Arabidopsis thaliana: one gene and its partners. The protein of the gene in region 2 purifies or fractionates together with the protein of the main gene of each other region. This does not show direct contact. Each region holds a gene or a part of one and is shown on either strand. Other genes may lie near its edges. The genes, in order: AT3G23940, MTO2, IMD1 and IMD2.

Region 1 (7,001 bases), on a different chromosome or scaffold from region 2:
GGTCAAGTACACTGATGGTCCTGAGGCGTGGCAGCTCTTTTGGGAAGCCAGCTTGGCGTCTGTGACCAAGCTAGGTATCGATTACTTCCCGGTGGTGATGCATCCTTTGAAGTCTGAGATCATCTACTTGTGGAGCAGAAACAAGAAAGGTATGGTCTTGTTTAACTTGAGGACGCATGTGTTTAGTCTTCACAAGGAATCCGAAGACGAGAGGAAGTGTATGGATGGTTGCACCTTGAGCTTTAACTGGTGCAACGAGTATATGGAGACCGTTCATAGATACTTTTCCCCATCGTTTCAAGGTGGTCCTAACCTTCTCCTCGCTTCACAGTATGTTCTCCCTCGTTGGTTGTCCCGTCTCCCTCGTCCACAGCCTTCTAATTAGTTTATATTGATTCTGTTTTAAGTTTGATATCAAATTTCAAATGTGAATGATTTTACAATTCTGTGAGATGTCATGCTCGAGCCTTTGAGACAAATACTTGCACCTTGATATAAATTGGTCGAATCAAATATTAATTACCATGCTCGAGTTTTACTATTCTTATGACCCTTATGTTGTCTCCTACAGAAACGAGAGAAAGACGATGAAAAGACTTGAAATCCAAGGAACCCAAGCCTTTAAGGTTAGTGGATTTCACATCTTTCTAAACCATGTAGAGAACGTCAAGCTTATTCACGCATAGCTGGTTTGCCACATTGGCTCTTAAGTTCAATCTCATAGACAAGTATTTATGCAAATCCGTCTTTATTCTGTCTTTATATTCTTTGGAATTCGGCCACAATCACAAGTTTTTATTTTGACATTTAAGAGAAACAAAATCTTAAAAACGAACCCTGCAAATAGCTAATGATCAGTCACAAAGTAACATGATCTAGAAGCTACAATAAATAAACTTACAAATTCCCTCATGAACGTACACTACATTCTGCTGCTCATTCACAAAACTCTCTCTTAGATCGTTCACTTTACTCGTCAGTCACACATCCATCTGAAGCCGATTGCACGTTCTTGATGTACTGTTTTTAGAATATCATAAACCATTCATTAGAAACTAATCCATCAGATGTCAAAGAGACATACATTATATAGATACAAGTGGATTCGTATAGTACCTTATATAGGACTCCGCGGTTAACCTTGTATGCAGGAGCAGTCCATTTCTTTCTACGGTCATTCATTTCTTCGGGTGAGACTTGTGTGTCTATTCTCTTCTTTCCTATGTCAATGGTGATTATGTCTCCGTTCTTGATCAGACCGATCGGACCACCCTCCTGCACAGATAAATAGTAAGCACACCGGAGAATTGCTTTCAGCATTATTATCTTCACATTCTCCAATCACATTAATATCAGTTTTATTATTTGAAATATTCCAAAATCATCATAACTGCATAAGAGCCACCACAAACTATTACAGGATCCCTTGACCCTTGTTCCTTTTTGCTAAAACTATATATGACTATGACCCAGTAGCATTTATTTTTCAATACACAAGAAAAATATCCCAGAAGAGGGACATGGATCTATCAAATTTATCTTGCAAGTGCAAAATTTAGAATTTTGCTCTGATGGAGCCAGTGGGCAGAGAGAAAAAAAAAAGGGAGAGAGAGAGACCTGAGCTTCAGGGCAAATGTGGCCAACAACAAAACCGTGTGACCCACCAGAGAACCTACCATCAGTCAGTAATGCACATTCCTGCATCACCCAATAGCAACATATTGGCACTTTATATAAGGTGTGTTCTCGGATATGGACAAAGTAGATAAAAAGATTTAGGTCACTACCATAAGCATAATATAGTCAGACCATATCAAAGGAAAAATAACGAGTTCTTTAATTTAGAACATAAAAATTGATCAGACTTAATAAATGTCTCACTAACCCAGTCATACTGGTCATATCATACCTTTCCAAGACCGGCACCCATTATTGCACTTGTCGGTGTCAACATCTCAGGCATACCTGGACCTCCTTTAGGCCCCTCTCCTCTGATAACAACCACAGTTCCCTGAAACACGATACATTTCATCAGATAAAAGATATATAACCAGCTCCTGAGATGAACTTCATATCAGAAAGGAAATTACCTTAAAACTCATTGGGTCTGCTGATATAGCAGCCAACATAGATTCCTCTCCTTCAAATACAAGTGCAGGACCTAAAATAAATAGTTCCATCATATAAGCCCTAATATTCAGAAGCATTAGCTAAATATGGAGTGTAAAGGAGGTACTAGAGTGAACCAACATTACCAGAGAAATATAAGCCCTCTTTGCCGGTAATTTTTGCTACAGAACCATCTGGTGCAAGGTCTCCTCTCAAAATTTGTATGTGTCCAGTCTCCTTGATTGGATTTGACAGAGGTCTAATTATCTCCTGGAACATTATCAGAATTAATTAGAATCCTGTATAACTAACAACCATCATAATCAAGAAGAAACAGGCGGTAGAATCTAATGAGATAACTAATAACATTACAAATACCTGCCCTTCTGTTAAGCTTGGGACGTTTTCTAAATTTTGAGCCAAAGTCTGCCCTGTCACTGGTAGAGATACAAAAGCGTAGTTATGCCATTTCACATCAATCCAAATTGCTAAGTCAGTTTATAAAATGTTTGAGCATTTCTACCTGTCATACAATCACCATCCATCAATCCTAGCTCTAATAAATAGCGGAGAACAGCTGGCGTACCACCTATCTGTAGATTAAACAACAAAACTTACAAACTGACCAATAAAAAAACAGATAAGTAATAAGCAAAACGATTTCGCCAAAGCCTTACCTTATGTATATCCTCCATAACATACTTCCCACTGGGTTTAAGATCTGCTAGAAATGGAACCGCATCGCTAACTTTCTGAAAATCGTCAAGAGTCAACTCCAAACCAACAGACCTGAAATCATTTCCATTCATTACTTCGGTCCATTGCTTTCCATGGTAATAATAAGAAACATCATAACAATCTGTCACCTTGCAATAGCAATTAGATGCAATACTGCATTTGTCGATCCCCCAAGGGCCATGACGGAAACCATTGCATTACGAAGTGATTTTGGAGTGATAATGTCACGGGGTTTTAAGTCCATCTTTAGCAATTCTAGAAGATATTTTCCTGCTAAGCGACACTCGTCCAACTTCAATGGGTCTTCAGCAGGTATTGAAGAACTTCAAAAAAAAAAGAAGAAGCAAATATATGAACTTTTGAAATAAGCATTCCACAATTACAGTTTAGGATCTACAATGTTCTTGTGGAAATAACTTTCTATTAAGCACAAATCTGGGAAAACGTTTGAAGTTGATTTATAAATGTGGTCTTCAGGACTGAAAGCCTCACCTGTAAGGAAGGGACATTCCCATTGCTTCGATAGCAGAAGCCATTGTATTCGCTGTGTACATGCCACCACAGGCTCCAGCTCCAGGACATGAATGATGGAGGACAGTCTTTCTCTGTTCATCACTTATGGAGCCACTAACAAATTCTCCATAACTCTGAAATACAAAATTGGAAAACATGATGAATCCCACAAGTACTGGTACAATTTGACACCAAAGTCACCAAGATTTCTGTAACTCAATCCCAAAATTGGAAAACTCAATGAAGTCTCATAAATACACATTAAAATTGTTATAACCAAGCTCGTAGCAGATAGAAGAAAAGATACCTGGAAAGCAGATACAATGTCATATGTCTTGTCTTGAAAATGGCCAGGCTGCAATAATATCAAAGCAAGGTGAATAGGCTATCCAACTAGGCACAAGGGTTTAGGGTTTAAGAAACTATCTTCTCATCAATTTGATAAAAGTAAGTACCTTAATGGTTCCACCATAAACCATAATCCCTGGTCTGTTAAGCCTTCCCATAGCCATAATAGTTCCAGGCATCTAAAAGTATTACAACAATAACATTATAGCAAACAAATCACATAAAACATGGAGATAAAGACAACACAAAGATCGATGATTAAAAAAAAAAAACTCACATTTTTATCACAACCGGGAATAGATATGTTACCATCATACCACTGAGCACTCATAACAGTCTCAATACTATCAGCAATCAAATCCCTAGATTGCAAACTAAAACACATCCCTCTCGTTCCCATCGAAATAGCATCACTCACACCAATAGTATTAAACCTAAACCCAACCATTCCTGCATTTTCAACTCCTTCTTTCACAGCCTCAGACAATTTCAGCAAATGCATGTTACAAGTGTTCCCTTCATACCAAACCGACGAGATACCAATCTGGGGTTTTAGCAAATCGTCGTCTGATAAACCAACACCGTGAAGAATTGCTTGAGACCCACCTTGGGATTTGGGTTCAGTGATTCTTGAGCTGTATTTGTTGAGCTTATTGGTGTCAGTGATAGGTGGTGAAGGATCAGCGGTTACGGATTGGGCGGAGCAGGAGATGATTGAGGGACGGCGAGAGTTGACATTGTGGGAAGGGAGGAGAGGTTTACAGGGGAAGAGAGTGGCGCGTGGAGAGAAGATGGTGGCTTGCATGACGGCGCGAGGAGGAAAGGGTTTAAAGAAGGGTTTTTTGGCGGCGCAGTGCGTGTGGAGGAGACACTTCAAAAGTGAAGACTTTGTGAGAGTGAGATAAAATGGTCAGGACTCTGAATTCAGATAGATACAGAAAAATAGGTTTTTTTGGTAATTTGTGAAAACGCTGTCGTTTAGCATAATTTGGGAAACAATTTGGTTTAACTCGCTGGTTTGGTATATGCGATTGCTTAAATAGTTATAATTAGGGGTGCAATAACCGGTTATTACAATTGTAGTGAAATAATTGGGTTAAAAATGGAATTGAAGACATAATAAATGGTTTTGGTTTCATATTTTTTTCATAATCAATATAGTAATAGAGATCAAACCAAGACAGAAAAAGAAGTAGAAATAAACCAATTAGAATTGTTTTTTTTTGTTAATGAAATATTGCTAAAATTAAATGCCGTAATCGAAGCAAAAATAAGAAATAAACCAACTAAAACTTCTTCTTTTTTACTACGGAAATTAAAGTAAATTTTGCTAAAAAGGATAAAACCCTAGCAGAAATCAAAATTGTACCAAACCGAACCACATGATATATTTCTTGTAGGATTCACTTCTTTATCTCATCTAACAAAAATTTGATAATTTTCAGTAACCGAACCGGAAGTTGGACATTCTTAATTAGAACTAGAAGTTTCTTGGGCTATAAAAAAGCAAGTGGTGTTTTAGACTTTTAGTGTCTAGTAAGTTTTTTTCCACAGTTTCTGTTCTTTGGAAAAATGGTTCATTATCATTATTGCTAAAGAATTGTATCTAACTCCAACAAAAAAAAAAAAAAACGATTTGTGCAAATCTTTCATGGGACATGTGCTTTTTGAACTCATAGTGCTATGATTTACTATATTTCCAAAATAAAAATTGTAAAATAACCAAAAGAGAAATAAATATGACATTGTGGATCAAGATTCTCTGACGAGATATGACTGTTTGCAGAAGACTATTTGAGTAAAAAGTGTTTATGTACATTCGACACATTTGGTCTTCAATATCAACAGATTCATTGATGCGAATGATCCTGTCTTCTTTTTCTTCTTGCTTCCAAGAATCCTTAGACTCTGTCTCAATAAGTCAATCTCTCTTTCTTTCTCATACTTTTGTCTATCCATCAAAACTATTTGCTCTTCAAGTGTCTCAACTGTCTCTTCTTTAACTCTAACTTCATCTCTCAATACTTCAACTCTCTTTGCTTCTGTTTCTTCTTCTTCTTGTTCCTCAAGTTTCCTTTGCATGATTGCTTCTCCTACAAACACACACTTTAAAGATCCTATTTACTTTTTCTAATTTTAAGTTGAAATAAGTTGAGTTTATTTTACCGGAGGAAGAAGTAGTGTGGGAGATGAGATGATCAAGCTCATTCTTGATAGCTAAATAGAGTTGTTTCCATTTCTCAACGGCTTCATCTCTCACTGCTCTCTCTACACACATCTCCTCAACCACCCACTTCCAATACTCTCTTTCCTCTGTTGTTGTTGTCTTTGCTTCTTCTCTTTCCTCTAGCTTCTTCCTTAGTCTTCTCACTTCCTCTCTCAGCTTCTTCCTCTCTTTTCTCCACTCTCTCTCCGCCTCTTTAAGCTGAAGAAACATCACTTTCTCTCTCTCATCTCTCTCTTTTATCAGGTGTCTTCTTCCTCTGCTTTGGTCTTTTGATGTCTCCTTCACACTTCTCACACCTCTCCTCTCTTGCTTGCTTGTGCATCCACCCATCTCTAATCCTTTTGGACACTTCTTCTTCTTCTTCTTATAACATGAAGAAGAATATGTTAATGAAGGAGAATCTCACTCTATCTCTCTGAAAGCTGTGTTCTTGTTTTATTTATGATGTAAAGAGCCTCTCTCCTACATTCAATGAAGAGAAGTCAAAATTGTATATGAAGAAGCTCCACTAGTACTACTACACTACCATTTATATATGGCCCTTTCTAAAAAGAGCATCTCAAAACAGTAACCTCTCTAGCTTTACTTTTTCACTCACTCACAAGTGTAAACACACTACAGTAAAAAAAGTGAAACTAAAAATTTGGTGGAATGGATGGAATAAATTAAGAGAGAAGTGATGGGAGATGTCAGAAGGGAAGGTGGAGAATTTTGTTAGAAGATAGGTTTAACCGTTTAAGGACATGGAAAACTACAACACTAGATTCTCATCCTTTACCACAATTAATGGTGTGGGCTTTCATTGTTTTTTTCACATGGTCCATCATCAACTATTTGGACCCATCCCTCTCTCTATACTCTATATAACTCTATACTAAGTATTTTGTTTTCCTATTACTATTTACTAATCAGTTTCTACAGTCACATGATTAAAAAAAAAAGAGATAATATGTGTGTAGATGTCACATTAGGAAATGAATATAGACATACCTGTTTTTGAGTGGCTCAAGGGTCAGATTAATCTTATAGAGGAAGAGACAAAAGTAAGACTGTTGTCTAATCAAAA
Region 2 (4,881 bases):
ATCATCTTCTGATTTTTCATTGAGTCTTATATAGTAGATTAAGAACAATTTATTGGTGCTTTGATGATAAATCTTGATTTGGTATGATAGAATTTTGACCTGGTGACTATCAAGTATCAGTGCAATGATCTCTCTTTTAGTTTGCAGTGGAGTTTTTATTTGCTTCTGAGCTTATAATTTCAACATTACTCTTTAGAATGGTGCTCTGCTAACATAGTATTTTACATGTTCCAAGGGTACGATCCTTGCTGTTGCAGGTGGAAGTAGTGCCTCAGTCAAGCTTTGGGACACTGCAAGCTGGAGATTAATCTCAACTCTATCAATCCCACGCCCAGATGCACCAAAACCTTCCGATAAAACCAGCAGCAAGAAATTCGTTCTCTCGGTGGCTTGGTCTCCTAATGGGAAACGACTTGCTTGTGGTTCAATGGATGGTACGATCTGTGTTTTTGATGTTGACCGCTCAAAGCTACTTCACCAGCTAGAAGGTCACAATATGCCTGTAAGGTCCCTTGTGTTCTCCCCTGTAGACCCGAGAGTCCTCTTCTCTGGATCAGATGATGGGCATGTGAACATGCACGATGCAGAAGGGAAAACGCTGTTGGGGTCCATGTCAGGGCACACGAGTTGGGTGCTGAGCGTTGATGCTAGCCCAGACGGTGGAGCCATAGCAACCGGCTCAAGCGATAGAACTGTGAGGCTATGGGATCTTAAAATGAGAGCTGCGATTCAGACAATGAGCAACCACAATGACCAGGTTTGGTCTGTGGCCTTTAGACCACCAGGTGGAACCGGTGTCCGGGCTGGTCGACTTGCTAGTGTCTCTGATGACAAGAGTGTATCGCTCTATGATTACTCATGAACAATTCGGTTTTTTGACTTTTTTCTTTTATGCATTCTCCAAGACGCATCTAGTTGTAACAATATAATCTGCAACAGGTTGATTTTGACCGGAGTCTTTAGATTTATCGCTTACACAAAAAACAAAGAAGATAAAATGATTCAAACTTTGCGATAGAACTTTATTGGAAAACTGAGAAACAGATAAAGATCACAGAGAGATGAGTTGAAGAGTAACGCAAACAAACGTCTAAAAGTTTTCAAAAAACAAAACAGCTAAAGATTATGGTCTTGTCTCTTATGACGTAAGTGTATTACTTCCTAAGTAACTCTTGAGAACATCCATGACAGCTCCGAAATCTGCTTTCACATCAACAGGAGGATTGGAGAATCTGCAAGCCATGTCAGGGATGGCATTGGAGTGATAATCTATCTTAGACTGAGTAAACTTCAACCCATGAGCAGTACTCACTACCACAGTTCGATCAGTCGGTGCAATCACTCCTTGATTCCTCAGCTTGAACAGAGCAGTTAGAGCAACACCTGTATGAGGACAGATAAACATTCCTGTCGAATCCGCTTGAGCCATCGCATCCATCAGCTCCTCCTCTGTGGCTTCTTCTACAATACCATTGCACTTCTTGAGAGCGTACACAGCTCTATCGATGGAGACAGGGTCACCGATCTGAATCGCAGAGGCGAAAGTGGTACTTGCAGTCATGGGCTTGAAGTCCTTCCAACCAGACTTGTAGTGCAAGTAAAGAGGATTAGCATTAGCTGCTTGTGCACAGACCATCCTCGGGATCCTATCGACAAGTCCCAGTTCTTGACACATCTTAAACCCTTTGTAAAAGGCATAGATGTTTCCTAGGTTACCTCCAGGAACAATCACCCAATCAGGAACTTGCCAATCAAACTGCTGCAAAATCTCAATAGCTGCAGTTTTCTGCCCTTCTAACCTCAAACTATTCAACGAATTCGCCAAATAAATCGGCAATTCCGCAGTTATCTCTCTAATCAGCTTCATACACCCATCAAAATCAGTGTCAATACTCAAAACAAACGCACCATTAGCTATCGGCTGAACCAGCTGAGCCATAGAGATCTTGTTCGCCGGTAAAAACACAATCGATGGGATTCCAGCGGAGGCGCAGTAAGCAGATAGAGCAGCAGAAGTATCTCCGGTGGAAGCACATCCGACACCAACCACAGGTCGTTTCATCTTTCTCAGACGATTAACTTGACTAACCAAAACAGTCATTCCAAGATCCTTGAAACTTCCTGTATGACTAATCCCACAGTGTTTCACCCACAGATCATTCATACCTAGAAACTGCTTACCAAATCTCTCTGCCCAGAACAGATTCGAGTTTCCTTCAAAAGCTGAAACGATGTCGTCGTCATCGATCTCAGGAAGAACCCACTCTTTCTTCGACCAAACACCCGATCCATAAGGCCATGTGCTTTTACCAACACGCGAATCGAAGAGATCACGCCAATACGCGCCATCGAATCGCTTCAAAGCCTCCATATCGTGTTCGACATCAAGCAAACCACCGGAGCGGCTACGGTACACGATCTCGTCGAGAGAGTAAGACTCCGTGGATCCAGGAGCTGCATTAAACGGAACGTATTTAGCTGAAAATGGATTCACGGCGTTGGAACGATTACGACGAGCCTCATCTCGAATGTTATCCTCGGTACGGTGAGGAGGCTTGACCGCTGTCTCGATCGGGGCTTTGATGTTGTTGCCATCGGCGGTACAGGAGATGACGACGGGGCGGTGGCGGAGGAGAGAGGTTGACCGGTGGCGGCGGATGGGGTCTTGTTTAGGGTTTAAGGACGATACAGAGGCATTGAAGAGACAAGACGAAGCCATTTTTTCTAGAGAATGAGAAGTGAGATGCGGCTGAGGATTTTGAGGAGAGGACACGAGTGAGAGAGAGAGAAAACTATATTCAGATACTTAAACCGGAAATGTCTTAGAACCGGCTAGTCGGTTTAAGCTTTTAGGTTAATTGGGATTATGTATGTGACGTAGAGAGATATTTTGGGCCCATTAATCATTCAAATATCTGGATCGCTTTCCGTATATAGCAATTGAATATTTATGTTTTGTCACGTTTTGCTTTAAACAGGCTAATAAAGTGCATGTTATAAGGAACATTCATGTTGATGACAAAAAGATAAAAGGTTACATTTGACCCAAAGAAAACAATAATGTTGAACATAAAAATTCACATAAGAATCACGTTTTAATTTTGATATAACACCAATACACCATCATGATATAGATTGAAACTCTAGTAGTAACAATGTGTAAGTTGGCCAAATTTGTAATCAATTAAATACTGCATCCAGAGGAATTTGATGGAAAATGAACAATTACATCTGAAAGCAACATGTGAACACTCCAAGTATCCCATATTACTTGGTTCGAATTGGAAATCTTTATAGAAACAAATATCAATTTGAACCGGGTGTATATTTATAGATATGTAAGTATAAATCTGACTAAACTGTCACAGACTCGAATTTATTTGACAAGAAGAAGGAGAAAGTAAGAAAGGACTGGACTCAAATTCTATAAAACTACACAAAAGAGAAAACAAGTCAATCATTGCTATAGAGTAATAAAACATCTCTATACATTTTGAGTAGGAGAGATTCAAAAGGGGACACCTAAACGGGCGGTATGTTTGAGAAGGAGAAACCTTTGTATCCTTTGTAAGCATAATACGCAATCCGTGTATAGTAAAACCCGGGAATGAACAGAAGACACCCGAGGACGATGAAGAAAATCCCTGGTTTCACCATCAAAAATATCAAACAGAGAATGATAGGTCATTGATGCAATGATGAGAAAGAAGTAGTTCCGGCAAAACGGAAGAAAACAGCAAATCAAATGAAATCAAGTTTAAGTACAATGCTGATACTTGCTTTCGCTTTGCAGTATTGCATTGGGGATGTATGAAATGCATTAATGAATTACAAGCCCAGAGGAAGAAGAGCAAACTAGCTAATTTGAAGTGAATCTCATGTCTATGTTACAAGCAGAATTGGGATATATCAATAACAGTATGTGATGATAGTGATCTAAAAAGTTAATGGAATCCAACGGAGATCCTTCCCTTTTTTATCTCACAGATAAGAGAAGCTTAGAATCATCATATACTAGTTTCTATCGGAAGTTTACTAATCATTCTAACAATGAAATCAAATCGTATGCCTTTGGAAAACTTGTGTCTATTCATCCAAATCTCCAGAAAACAGAGAGCAAAAGGCCAAGCTGAAACGAAATTACACTCCACCGTAGCTAACCAGAGCACTTGCAATCTATATCTATCAGCTTAATTACCAAAATTATAACATAACTTCACCAAATCTAAAAAAATTCCTAAAACAATCTAGCTGAAATCAATTACTGTTTTCTAAATCTCTCAAACTAGCAAAGATAAGTCCCACATATTCTCTCATGAATTCCCAATTTCTACTCCAAGACTGGATCAATAAATGTGGAATAAGTAAGAAAGGTGAAGAAATCGCTACCGTGGCCTCGATCACCGCCAACTCGATTATAAGCCATGAAGAAACCGGAGACAATTCCTAGGGTTCCGAACACGAGTAAAGCCACCGCGAGTGCGATCTCCTTCACCGGCGGTCGGTTATTGACGGTGTATGAAGTCTCAATCATAATGTCCTCGTCCGTTATCGAGAACGCATGGTCGACGTACGCCATTTTACACAGCTTCCGGATCAAAGATCAATGGGAAACAATCAGGACCGATCTAGAAGAAAGCAGAATGACGATTGATCTAGAGCTCGAGAAAGATGAAATCGTACTGTTTGAATTTTAGGTCTTCAGATGTTATGAGTCTCCTACGACGGTGACGGATTAGTTTGGTGCAAATGCAATTTCTTTTGGTCGTGAAATCTACTCAACGTACTATGATTCAAACTACGCGTCGTTTGATTATTCTTTTCTCCGAAAACGGCAGAACGTGCGAGTTTGAACAAATCAAACTAATCAGTGGGCTATAT
Region 3 (5,370 bases), on a different chromosome or scaffold from region 2:
TGTGTATACACAAGTTAATTGACGGTTAAGGCGATGCAAAAAGGTAAGGAAGAGTAAAACTTACGACAAGAATTCCATGTTGTATTAGGACAGGTTGTCTCTTTCCCCCATCTCCGGCGACGGCTCCGGCTCGTCCTTCCGGTATCCTTTGCATATTCAATATGTACCCATCTTGAGTCACCACCTTCATAATTTAACAATTAAAATAGCAGCTTTATCAGTTAATATATCGATGAGTAATCATCATCAATAGCTATATAGAAAAAAAAAGAATGTCGTACGTACATCATGTTCTTCGCACTTGTAACCAAATATGTGAACAGAAGAAGCGCATATGCCGCCGGCAGCAGTCCTCTGCGGTGGCTGTCCGGCAAGCCTGCCGAAGGTTCCACGAGCTTCAAGGGTCTTGAGGGAAAGAGCGAAGAAGATTAAGACAGATAAGGCTAAACCGATTGAAACGGACGGAACCATAACCGAACCGGCCATTGAGATATATATAGGGGTTATCACGTACGTTTATAGGAAAGTGAAAATGGTTTTATATAGAGAGAAGGGGTGACGGATAAGATAATAGAAAATGGAATTATTAGCTATTTATAAAAATGCAAAACCACGTTAGCAACTATGGATAGACAAAAACTTATTTAGAAAAAAAAACAATTTATGGTGTGTAAACATAAATTAAGAATTGAATCATGCACAAAAAATAAGACAAGCATTTATGAATAGTTTCTAGAAGTGGTGAATCATCCACTGCTATCGTCGATACAACATTTACTAAAGTTTCTATATATAAGTGGAGGGATGATCAGTGTGACCATGCCATGATTTCTAACTTTTTTGAGAGAGCGAGGTTATTATGATAAACATTTAAAATAATACGTGGAACTGAGATGAATGGAAAATAATCTTTATAAAAGAGAAAAAAAAAAATAGAAGATCTCATGATAATAAAAGTACTTCCATATGTTTTCAATGTGAAGAAAAGAATAGTAAAGGAGATACATCCAATAGCTTAGTCTAGAAAAGAGCTGACTAATTTTTTTTAAAAACAAGATCTCTGGTTTGTATATTTGTATCGATTACACAGCCTAGATATATAAAACACAAAACTTGATGGAGACAATTTCATATCCTATATATACACATTAATTTAATGAGTGAATAGTAATAGCAACTAGCAAGGCAATCTAAACAAAATTAAGAAAAGAAAAATGTTAAATTCCTGAGATCTATAATAACTCATAAGCAAAAAATATATTTAAAAAAATCATACAAATGTTGTAATAATATCATTTTGTTTTAATGTGGAGTGATAAAAAGAAGATAGGACGAAAGAAGAAACTGTTAAAGGCGATTGTAGATGCTGTAGGGACGGATAAATGGACTATGACATCAGTTTCCGTTACTTGTTTCTTCTCGAACTCAAAGAAGAAAGAAAAAAAAAAAAAAAATTCTACATCGGTACGCTTTCGTTTCACACCCTGCATGCACACAGTGTCCGGTAGTCAAAAATACAAAAAAAAGAAAAAAAACCTCGAGACATGCTAAATTTGGATAATGATTAATAATTTGGGGGTACACAATGTTCCAAATAATTTATATACAAAGTCTTGCTTTCATATTATTTGTGTGTCCACACTTCAACAATATAGTATTATACTATTATCCCTATCCCCTATGAAGTATGAACACACTTTTTATGATACGTATCATATTCAGAAAACATCAAAAATTGGTCATAACTCTCACGTGGTGTGGTGGATTTGCCTCGCCTTTCGTTTCTGTTTTTTGCAAATATTTAAGAATCTTTGGTCATTTAGGCTTTAATTTAGTTACTTTAAATTTATTTTTGTTATAGAAGTATTATGTTAAAAACAGTTCGTGTTCATCCTTGGACTAACCAGACGATTTGACAAAATCCGAATATCCGATCATAAAATTAAATAATCAGCCGTTATTGTTCCTCTACTACTACGTTTTAACTTTTAAGAACTTCTCCTGGTACTTTGATGGGCTATAAGAGCGGCCCAATATTTCGACTTTAAAATGGGCCAATCTTTGGTAAAGGCCCAATTATAGTGGCGCTTCTTCTTCTTCTTTTCCTAAACAAGCAATGGCATGGTTTAGCTGGTGAGCCAGTTTATAGGTAAAAAGGATAATTTAAGCCATTTAAAAAAACAAATCTTTAATGGCGTAATTCAAAAAACGTGCACACCTATCTAAGTACCAAACTCTTTATGTTATATAACTATTGTGACACAATTTCAAATTTGCTAACTCCCAAAAAAAATGGCGGCGTTTTTGCAAACGAACATCAGTCTGAATGCGATCAAGATCGTCCCGGGGAAATACAGTTCTCTCACCGATCATCAGTTTCGTGCGCCGTATCGAATTAGGTGCGCCGCCGCTTCACCTGGGAAAAAACGGTATAACATCGCTCTGCTTCCCGGAGACGGTATCGGTCCAGAAGTTATCTCTGTTGCTAAGAATGTGCTTCAGAAAGCTGGATCTCTCGAAGGTTCTTTCTCTTTCTCAATGGTTTTTGGAAACAACGAGTGTGTTTGCTTAGCCAGTAGATGATTGTGTCTTTGCTTTTGTATCACAGGACTGGAGTTTGATTTCAAGGAGATGCCTGTCGGAGGAGCAGCCTTGGATTTGGTTGGAGTTCCATTGCCGGAGGAAACTTTCACGGCTGCAAAACTATCTGATGCCATTCTTCTTGGAGCTATTGGAGGGTATGTGTGTGAGTGCTGTTTCTTTAGCAATCTGCTTCCAAATTTATTCTGATCTTGAGGTTTGGATGATTATTGTTCAGGTACAAATGGGACAAGAATGAGAAACATCTGAGACCTGAGATGGCTCTGTTTTACCTTAGAAGAGATCTCAAAGTCTTTGCTAATTTGAGACCTGCTACAGTTTTGCCACAGGTATCTTCGGTTTTGATTTGCTTAGCACTTGAATTTTGCTTCTAGTTGTAAATAAACTCAAATGTTTCTGTTTTGCTTGTTCAGCTAGTTGATGCTTCCACACTGAAGAAAGAAGTAGCAGAAGGTGTTGATATGATGATTGTTAGGGAGCTCACAGGAGGTATTTACTTTGGAGAGCCAAGAGGCATTACGATCAATGAAAATGGCGAAGAAGTCGGCGTTAGTACAGAGATCTACGCTGCTCACGAGGTAATAACCCTTCACACTGTGCTCTGTGACAATATTGGCAATGTATGGATATTAATGCATTGATTTATGTTCTTCAGATTGACAGAATTGCTCGTGTAGCATTCGAGACTGCTAGGAAAAGGCGTGGCAAACTTTGTTCTGTTGACAAAGCCAATGTGTTGGATGTACGTTCTGTTAGTTCACTGAATTGTTTTTCCACTTTTGTGTGTTTTACGAAATGCAAATTTCTTTGTTTCATGTAGGCATCAATATTGTGGAGGAAAAGAGTAACAGCTTTAGCCTCTGAATATCCAGATGTTGAACTATCACATATGTATGTCGATAATGCTGCAATGCAGCTTATTCGTGACCCGAAACAGGTGCTTCTCGCACATATATCAAACTTAGTCGTTGATTAAGCTAACTCAGAAGTGGAACTAGTACTCACGGTGTTTTTAAAACAATGCAGTTTGACACAATCGTTACCAATAACATTTTTGGTGATATATTGTCTGATGAAGCTTCAATGATCACTGGAAGCATTGGAATGCTTCCATCTGCTAGTCTCGGTGAATCGGTAAACAAAATTAACTAACATCTTTCAAGGCTCCTCCTGTTTATAAACTAATGCGAAATGTTAAACTTGTGATGAAATCAGGGACCTGGACTCTTTGAACCTATACATGGTTCAGCACCAGATATAGCTGGACAAGACAAGGCAAACCCATTGGCCACCATTCTCAGCGCGGCGATGCTTCTGAAGTATGGACTTGGAGAAGAAAAGGCTGCAAAGAGGATTGAAGACGCTGTCGTGGATGCTCTGAACAAAGGGTTCAGAACCGGAGACATCTACTCCCCTGGAAATGTATGTGCATGATGATTCTTATCATTTGTTTTGTACAAGTTCGTAACAAAATACTTAAAAAAGTCTTTTGTGTTTTGAAAATGCAGAAACTGGTGGGATGCAAGGAAATGGGTGAGGAGGTTCTCAAATCAGTGGAATCCAAAGTTCCAGCTACTGTTTAAGTTTATTGATGATTTGAAGCACTTGAAAAAGTTTGTGTAGCACTTGGTTTTACGGTCACTTATATGCTAATCCATGCAACATTGTACCTTTTATAATAAATAAATTATTTGGGATCGATTCTGCAATTCAAAGACAAGATTCTCCAAAAACATTTGACAGGTCTCCTGCCTTTACTTACCTTGTTCTTGAAGATTGAGAATTTCTCTTCAACTACAAGACTCAATATCTTCTTCAATCAATATTTGTTTAACGAAATAAGTTTCAAGAGAAGACAAGCTACTATGATTTTTAGTCTCAAGAGTCTTACATTTTTATACTGAAAACCAAACTTATAGAGCTTTACATTTAGAAAACCGAAAAAACTATCAATCATTAGGTTAGCCTTTGGATTCACGACGACGTATCAGATTTGCGTTCAGCGTCTGCGGCAGACTGCATTTGAGCTGCGTATTGTAAGTTCCAGAGAACATCTTCAAAGGAAGGTCTTGCGGAAGGTTCAAGCAAAACACATTTATTGGCGATTGAGATCGCAATCGATAAAGACTCCTGCGAGCTTGTTGTTAGGACTGTTGGACTTACTATTTTCTGCCGACCGTCTTGGCTCCCAAATGATGTCTGCAAACACAACATTGCAGCAACAGCTATTAACCAAATTTGTTTCAATCAAATAACAATGATGATGCTTTTTTTTTTTGCTTTTTCTCTTTGTTACCATTTCGTTGAGAAGAAAAGCCTCTCCTTTTGTAGTGGGCACTGGTCCTATCAGAGATTCCAGAAGTATGAATCCGAAGTTGTACACATCGTCCTCTCTTTTAGCCTTTTTCCTGCATAATCTCAAAGTTTGGATTAGATTCTCATAAATGCCATGGAGTTTTGCTATACAAGGACAAAAGATGCATACTTTGACTTGTGGGTTTCTGACTTTGTCTGCAAAATGTAGAAGCAGGAGTAAAGTAGAGTCCTGAGTTAGTGTCAAAGAAGATCATACAAAATGAAGATAAACACAGTGAAAGAGAGTAAATAGAGCAAACCTCAAGCTTTTCGTTCTCTTCAATGATGGCAGAGACTCCATAGTCACTGAGCTTTGCAATCTTGTGTTCGTCAAGCAAAATATTGTTAGTCTTAAGCTGATTGTTGAATGAACCAGGCATTACACCGGTGTGAAGAAAATGAACTGCCTTTGCT
Region 4 (5,511 bases), on a different chromosome or scaffold from region 2:
CACGGTTTCCCGCTCTTGCACATGATATCCATGTAAATGGAATACGAAAAAAGATCCTTAGTAACACCTTCAGTATCCATCTTCTTCCAATACTCCTTGCATTTACCCCACCATCCCAATTTCGACCACCCACGAAGAATCAGATTATGAATCTTAGTATTACTCACACTAAAACCATTACCAATGACATTCTTCCCAAAACAAAGCTCTTCAGCTTCAACCACATGTTTATGCTCGCAAAGCGCATCGACCAGATTATAAAATGATGTTTCATCTCTCAAATTGAAATCATCCAATTTATCATACGCATCAATAGCCTCCTGAACAAGATGAGCCGTCACATAACGCTTAAAGACTATACGAAACGTGACGTGATTCGGCACAGATTCCGTGTTTCCGATCATGCGGTTAATCAAAGCCCAAGAAATTTCAAACTCGAAATACTTACCCAGAATATCGATCACCCGATTGAATGTCTCGGTGGTATGTCTGAATCCGGATTCTCTCTCGACCCAGTTGAAAAACTCCAACGCCTTTTGCCAATCGTTGCTGTAACATGTGAGAGCTTCGCATACTGTTTTCTGATCGTAACTGGACTGATCTTCTTCTTCCTGAGATCGAAACTTCGCATCATCGACATTTGAAATAGGTTTTACTGACAGAAGCCGAACGGAGTAAGGGGAAGCAATCCGAACTCGATTGAGTCGCCGCAACAAGAGCATTCTCTTGTTTCCCCTCTCCGCTCCCTGTACACACGAAATTAGGGTTCATCATCTAACGGGCGAATTTTGACCCGAATACCCATTTTAAAATCTGACCCGAATACCATTTATGGGCCCAAAGCCCGCTGGACTTGTGTTAATATTTGGAACATTTGGGCCGATCTATCTTCTACGAATCTTTCTTAGGCCCATCATAATTGAGCCATCCAGAGGTGAAAATAAATAATCGAACGGTTAATATTGGTTTGATTATAAACACAAAAGTTCTTTCCAGGTCTCCTTGTAGTCTTTGTTGTAGTAAATGGCGGGAGTCATCCACGTCAGCAGTACCCAGATTCCGGTTGCGTTTATGTCCGCAACCAAACAGAGCTTTAGGAGAGCTTCTGTGATCAGATGTGCCGCCAACACTCCAAAGAAACGGTACACCATCGCGGTTCTTCCCGGCGATGGCGTCGGTAACGAAGTGATCCCAGTCGCTGTTGACGTTCTTTGTTTAGCTGGGTCTCTTGAAGGTTCCTTCTTTCTCATCCTGTTGCCTAATTTAATTTGATTTTCCCAACTGAAATCGTGTTTTTGGATATCAGGGATAGATTTTAGCTTCGAGGAGTTGCCTATAGGAGGTGTTGCTTTAGATCTTGTCGGAGTTCCACTGCCTAAGGAAACATTGATCAGGGCAAAGCAATCAGACGCTCTTCTTCTCGGAGCTGTTGGATGGTATGGTATTATTACCATAACTTTCGTTCATCTCAAGTTTGGATTCATCTAAAGTTTGGATTTTTGAATTGAAGGCCGAAATGGGATAACAATCCCAAGCATTTGAAGCCGATAACGGCCTTGTTGCAGCTTCGTGCGGCTCTTCAAGTATTTGATGAGCCCTCCTTCTTCTGTGAGGTGCTGCTAATAAATGGATATATATATATATATATATATATATATATATATGTTGTATGTGGTAATGTAAGGTGTCCATTTACAAAATTAAAAACTTTGGGGTCAATTCTGAAAATAAAACAATGTGCAAAAAAGGACCCATAAATGCAAAGAAGTAAAGTCTGAGTGTACTAGTAGTATCCATTTGACTTGCGGTTTCAAAATCCGAAAAAGACCAATCAATCCTTTCTCCCTGAAATGGCGGCGGCTCTGCAGACGAATATCCGGACGGTCAAGGTTCCGGCTACGTTCAGAGCTGTAAGTAAACAGTCATTGGCACCCTTTAGAGTAAGATGTGCTGTTGCTTCCCCTGGTAAAAAACGATACACCATCACTCTCCTTCCCGGAGACGGCATCGGTCCGGAGGTTGTCTCCATTGCCAAAAATGTGCTTCAGCAAGCTGGATCTTTGGAAGGTTCTCTCTCTCTCTCTTGTTCCCTTTCTTATTTAATTTAGTTGCTGTTTCATTTCAATTGGGGACTACTGTTTTCTGCTTGGAATTGAAAGATGTGAGCATTAGAAATTGGCGAGATTTTGAATGGGATTTACAATCGTGGGTTGGGCTCAAAGGCCACGGAGATTGCCTAATACATTGCGTCTGTGCTCTGTATCAGGAGTGGAATTTAACTTCCGTGAGATGCCCATTGGAGGAGCTGCTTTGGATTTGGTCGGAGTGCCCTTGCCGGAGGAGACTATCTCAGCTGCAAAAGAATCAGATGCAGTGCTTCTTGGAGCCATTGGAGGGTCTGTCTTCTCTCTTTTCCCACTAATCTTGTTGGCTCTTAATTATTGTTTTGGGAAATACAGTTTCTCATTTAGTCATTTTCTCATGTTGGTATAATAATAACTTAAGGTACAAATGGGATAACAATGAAAAACATCTGAGGCCTGAGAAGGGGTTACTTCAGATTCGTGCAGCTCTCAAAGTCTTTGCAAATCTGAGACCTGCTACAGTCCTCCCACAGGTGACCATCCTCAGAGATTTCTTGGTTGCCTGAACTTTGTTTCTTGTGTGAAACTCTAATTTTGTTGTTTTTATACAGTTAGTGGATGCTTCCACCTTAAAGAGAGAGGTAGCAGAAGGTGTTGATCTAATGGTTGTAAGGGAGCTTACAGGAGGTCAGTTTTATTACTTATTAAAAATTGATCGTAATTCTTGTCTTTCTCGTGTGACAATATCTTATAAAATGTCATGTCTCATGGTAACAGGTATTTACTTTGGAGAGCCAAGGGGCATAAAGACCAATGAAAATGGCGAGGAAGTTGGGTTTAATACTGAGGTTTATGCTGCTCACGAGGTACTCTATTGAAAATCTCAGATGCAGATTTCCGTGGACTGATTGTTAAGTACTAGGGTCAAATCTAATAAAGCATTTTGTATGTTCGTCAGATTGATAGAATTGCTCGTGTTGCCTTCGAGACTGCTCGGAAACGGCGTGGCAAGCTGTGTTCTGTTGACAAAGCTAATGTTTTGGAAGTGCGGTTGATAATTATGTTTTCTTTGACTTGTTTTCCTCTCTCTTGTTTCCTGTGGAACGAACATAACACTGAATTTTTTTATATGCAGGCCTCAATCTTATGGAGGAAACGAGTAACAGCATTAGCCTCTGAATATCCTGATGTTGAGCTGTCACATATGTATGTTGACAATGCCGCGATGCAGCTTGTTCGTGACCCAAAACAGGTACGTGTACTTTGTATTTGCCAAACTAGTCAGCTTTGATGTGCGACAGGTGTAAATCCTTGCAATTATTTGATTGTTTGATAAATGCAGTTTGACACCATCGTCACAAACAACATTTTTGGTGATATATTATCCGATGAAGCTTCAATGATCACAGGAAGCATAGGAATGCTGCCATCTGCTAGTCTCAGTGATTCGGTATGATATAAAATAATATGATCTTTTAGTATGCAAGCAGTATGATCTAGTCTGAACATAAACCCGCCATGTGTAATACAGGGACCTGGACTCTTTGAACCTATACATGGTTCTGCACCTGATATTGCTGGACAGGTTCTAACTCTATCCTTCAAACAAACACGGTTTTTGTTCCCTGATATCAAAACTAGTTTAATGCCAAAATCAAAGAGCACAACTTGTTGATTCTTTGAATTTTCAGGATAAGGCAAACCCATTGGCAACCATTCTAAGCGCTGCAATGCTTCTGAAATACGGACTTGGAGAAGAAAAGGCAGCCAAGAGAATTGAAGACGCAGTGTTGGTTGCTCTGAACAACGGATTCAGAACTGGAGACATATACTCCGCGGGAACAGTATGTTTCTTGAACCACTCTTATAACATGTTTCCTTTTCCTTAAAAACGTCCCGAGTTAGTGTTTGAGAAACGTTTAAACAAGCAGGCAACAACAAACAGTAGTAATATTTTTTTGTCTTTTTGTATGGGGTATGATCAGAAACTGGTGGGCTGCAAGGAGATGGGAGAGGAGGTTCTGAAGTCAGTGGACTCCCAAGTTCCAGCTTCTGTTTAATATTTGTAGAAACTTTGAAGAGTTCATTTCCAACAACAAATGTTGTACCTTGTACTCAAAGAGTCTCGGTTTTATTAGCGATTTTTATAATGTGAGATTATTAGAGGGACTTATTTGATCGAACTGAAACGTTGATGTTTTTTTCTGAGAAATAAATATCCTTGTGGAGATAATGACGTGTCAGAGTATCACTCAAAAAGCCAAAAATTAGAGAGACAAAAAAGATTCAATCTCCCCCGTAGTCCTTATCCGGCGCCGAGTGTGGTCAAACGTCGCAAGAGTTTTCGCTCTTTCCGGTGAGATCTTTTTCCTCTGATTTCTGTTTCATGGCAAGCCTACTTTTAGAGCTGAGTTTAATCGATGAATCAAGGATGTGAATTTTTGTTATTTCTTGATTATTCATTATTATGTTCAAGAAATCTAAATCTCTGCTTGGGAACTAATTCACAATTTAGACATCTCTGATGAGTTTTTCCTCTGTTTTTTATTTCTATCTTATCAATTTTGTTTCTGGAAATTTTCATGGCTTTTTGAATGTTCATTGGGATTGCGTATCTTGGTGGTGGTAAGTAAAAAGTCAAACGCCTTCGTTTTTCTGCATAATCTCTGAGTTCCATCAAAGCTCTGTTTTGTGTTTTCAAGGTGGACTTTTCACTTGACATGTTAGGCTTTGATCCTTTTTTGTTCACACAGATAGACAAATGGATGAATTGCCAGACCATTTGGTTTGGGACATTCTCAGTAAGCTTCATACTACCGATGACAGAAACTCGCTTTCACTCTCATGCAAACGTTTCTTCTCGCTGGACAACGAGCAAAGATACTCTCTGCGGATTGGTTGCGGTTTAGTTCCTGCATCCGATGCATTGCTTTCTCTCTGCAGGAGGTTTCCAAATCTTTCCAAAGTGGAGATTATATACTCAGGCTGGATGTCAAAACTTGGCAAACAAGTTGACGATCAAGGCCTTCTTGTCCTGACCACAAACTGTCATTCTCTCACTGATCTCACTCTGAGCTTCTGCACCTTCATCACCGATGTTGGCATAGGCCATTTGTCGTCGTGTCCAGAGCTTTCTTCGTTGAAGTTAAATTTCGCTCCCAGGATCACTGGTTGTGGTGTGTTGTCACTTGCTGTAGGATGCAAGAAACTCAGGAGACTTCATCTCATTCGATGCCTAAACGTTGCAAGTGTAGAGTGGTTGGAGTATTTCGGAAAGCTTGAGACTTTAGAAGAACTCTGTATCAAGAACTGCAGAGCCATTGGGGAAGGTGATTTGATCAAGCTGAGGAATAGCTGGCGAAAGCTGACAAGTCTGCAGTTTGAGGTAGATGCCAATTACAGGTACATGAAGGTTTACGACCAGTTA

What was found.
Region 1: the proteins of MTO2 (region 2) and AT3G23940 fractionate together in Arabidopsis thaliana (co-fractionation; one large-scale study listed by BioGRID). This does not show direct contact.
Region 3: the proteins of MTO2 (region 2) and IMD1 fractionate together in Arabidopsis thaliana (co-fractionation; one large-scale study listed by BioGRID). This does not show direct contact.
Region 4: the proteins of MTO2 (region 2) and IMD2 fractionate together in Arabidopsis thaliana (co-fractionation; one large-scale study listed by BioGRID). This does not show direct contact.

What each region holds. Positions count from the first base shown.
Region 1 is NC_003074.8:8,646,292-8,653,292, reverse strand, and holds AT3G23940 (dehydratase family), read right to left. Parts: upstream 4,625-7,001; 5' UTR 4,514-4,624; coding exon 3,986-4,513; intron 3,888-3,985; coding exon 3,816-3,887; intron 3,716-3,815; coding exon 3,668-3,715; intron 3,495-3,667; coding exon 3,340-3,494; intron 3,171-3,339; coding exon 2,976-3,170; intron 2,899-2,975; coding exon 2,787-2,898; intron 2,703-2,786; coding exon 2,633-2,702; intron 2,547-2,632; coding exon 2,488-2,546; intron 2,380-2,487; coding exon 2,256-2,379; intron 2,162-2,255; coding exon 2,091-2,161; intron 2,012-2,090; coding exon 1,910-2,011; intron 1,699-1,909; coding exon 1,618-1,698; intron 1,276-1,617; coding exon 1,117-1,275; intron 1,021-1,116; coding exon 970-1,020; 3' UTR 688-969; downstream 1-687. Other genes in the region: AT3G23950 (F-box family protein), read left to right, coding at 1-385; AT3G23930 (troponin T, skeletal protein), read right to left, coding at 5,518-5,801, 5,875-6,265. UniProt on the Arabidopsis thaliana protein: Functions in the biosynthesis of branched-chain amino acids.
Region 2 is NC_003075.7:14,598,296-14,603,176, forward strand, and holds MTO2 (Pyridoxal-5'-phosphate-dependent enzyme family protein), read right to left. Parts: upstream 2,761-4,881; 5' UTR 2,720-2,760; coding exon 1,139-2,719; 3' UTR 921-1,138; downstream 1-920. Other genes in the region: VIP3 (Transducin/WD40 repeat-like superfamily protein), read left to right, coding at 236-862; AT4G29850 (transmembrane protein (DUF872)), read right to left, coding at 3,523-3,644, 4,390-4,579. UniProt on the Arabidopsis thaliana protein: Catalyzes the gamma-elimination of phosphate from L-phosphohomoserine and the beta-addition of water to produce L-threonine.
Region 3 is NC_003076.8:4,573,928-4,579,297, forward strand, and holds IMD1 (isopropylmalate dehydrogenase 1), read left to right. Parts: upstream 1-2,195; 5' UTR 2,196-2,292; coding exon 2,293-2,521; intron 2,522-2,608; coding exon 2,609-2,738; intron 2,739-2,818; coding exon 2,819-2,930; intron 2,931-3,014; coding exon 3,015-3,179; intron 3,180-3,256; coding exon 3,257-3,343; intron 3,344-3,421; coding exon 3,422-3,538; coding exon of another isoform or gene 3,539-3,540; intron 3,541-3,627; coding exon 3,628-3,735; intron 3,736-3,816; coding exon 3,817-4,023; coding exon of another isoform or gene 4,024-4,035; exon of another isoform or gene 4,036-4,109; coding exon 4,110-4,184; 3' UTR 4,185-4,475; downstream 4,476-5,370. Other genes in the region: MPL1 (Myzus persicae-induced lipase 1), read right to left, coding at 65-184, 286-486; AT5G14210 (Leucine-rich repeat protein kinase family protein), read right to left, coding at 4,576-4,800, 4,898-5,009, 5,087-5,112, 5,217-5,370. UniProt on the Arabidopsis thaliana protein: Involved in both glucosinolate and leucine biosynthesis; catalyzes the oxidative decarboxylation step in both leucine biosynthesis (primary metabolism) and methionine chain elongation of glucosinolates (specialized metabolism).
Region 4 is NC_003070.9:30,285,983-30,291,493, forward strand, and holds IMD2 (isopropylmalate dehydrogenase 2), read left to right. Parts: upstream 1-1,780; 5' UTR 1,781-1,850; coding exon 1,851-2,067; intron 2,068-2,266; coding exon 2,267-2,396; intron 2,397-2,505; coding exon 2,506-2,617; intron 2,618-2,695; coding exon 2,696-2,771; intron 2,772-2,861; coding exon 2,862-2,950; intron 2,951-3,042; coding exon 3,043-3,129; intron 3,130-3,219; coding exon 3,220-3,336; intron 3,337-3,426; coding exon 3,427-3,534; intron 3,535-3,615; coding exon 3,616-3,669; intron 3,670-3,775; coding exon 3,776-3,928; intron 3,929-4,069; coding exon 4,070-4,144; 3' UTR 4,145-4,317; downstream 4,318-5,511. Other genes in the region: AT1G80550 (Pentatricopeptide repeat (PPR) superfamily protein), read right to left, coding at 1-722; AT1G80555 (Isocitrate/isopropylmalate dehydrogenase family protein), read left to right, coding at 1,024-1,234, 1,307-1,436, 1,511-1,757; AT1G80570 (RNI-like superfamily protein), read left to right, coding at 4,679-4,709, 4,838-5,511. UniProt on the Arabidopsis thaliana protein: Involved in leucine biosynthesis; catalyzes the oxidative decarboxylation step in leucine biosynthesis (primary metabolism). Catalyzes the oxidation of 3-carboxy-2-hydroxy-4-methylpentanoate (3-isopropylmalate, 3-IPM) to 3-carboxy-4-methyl-2-oxopentanoate.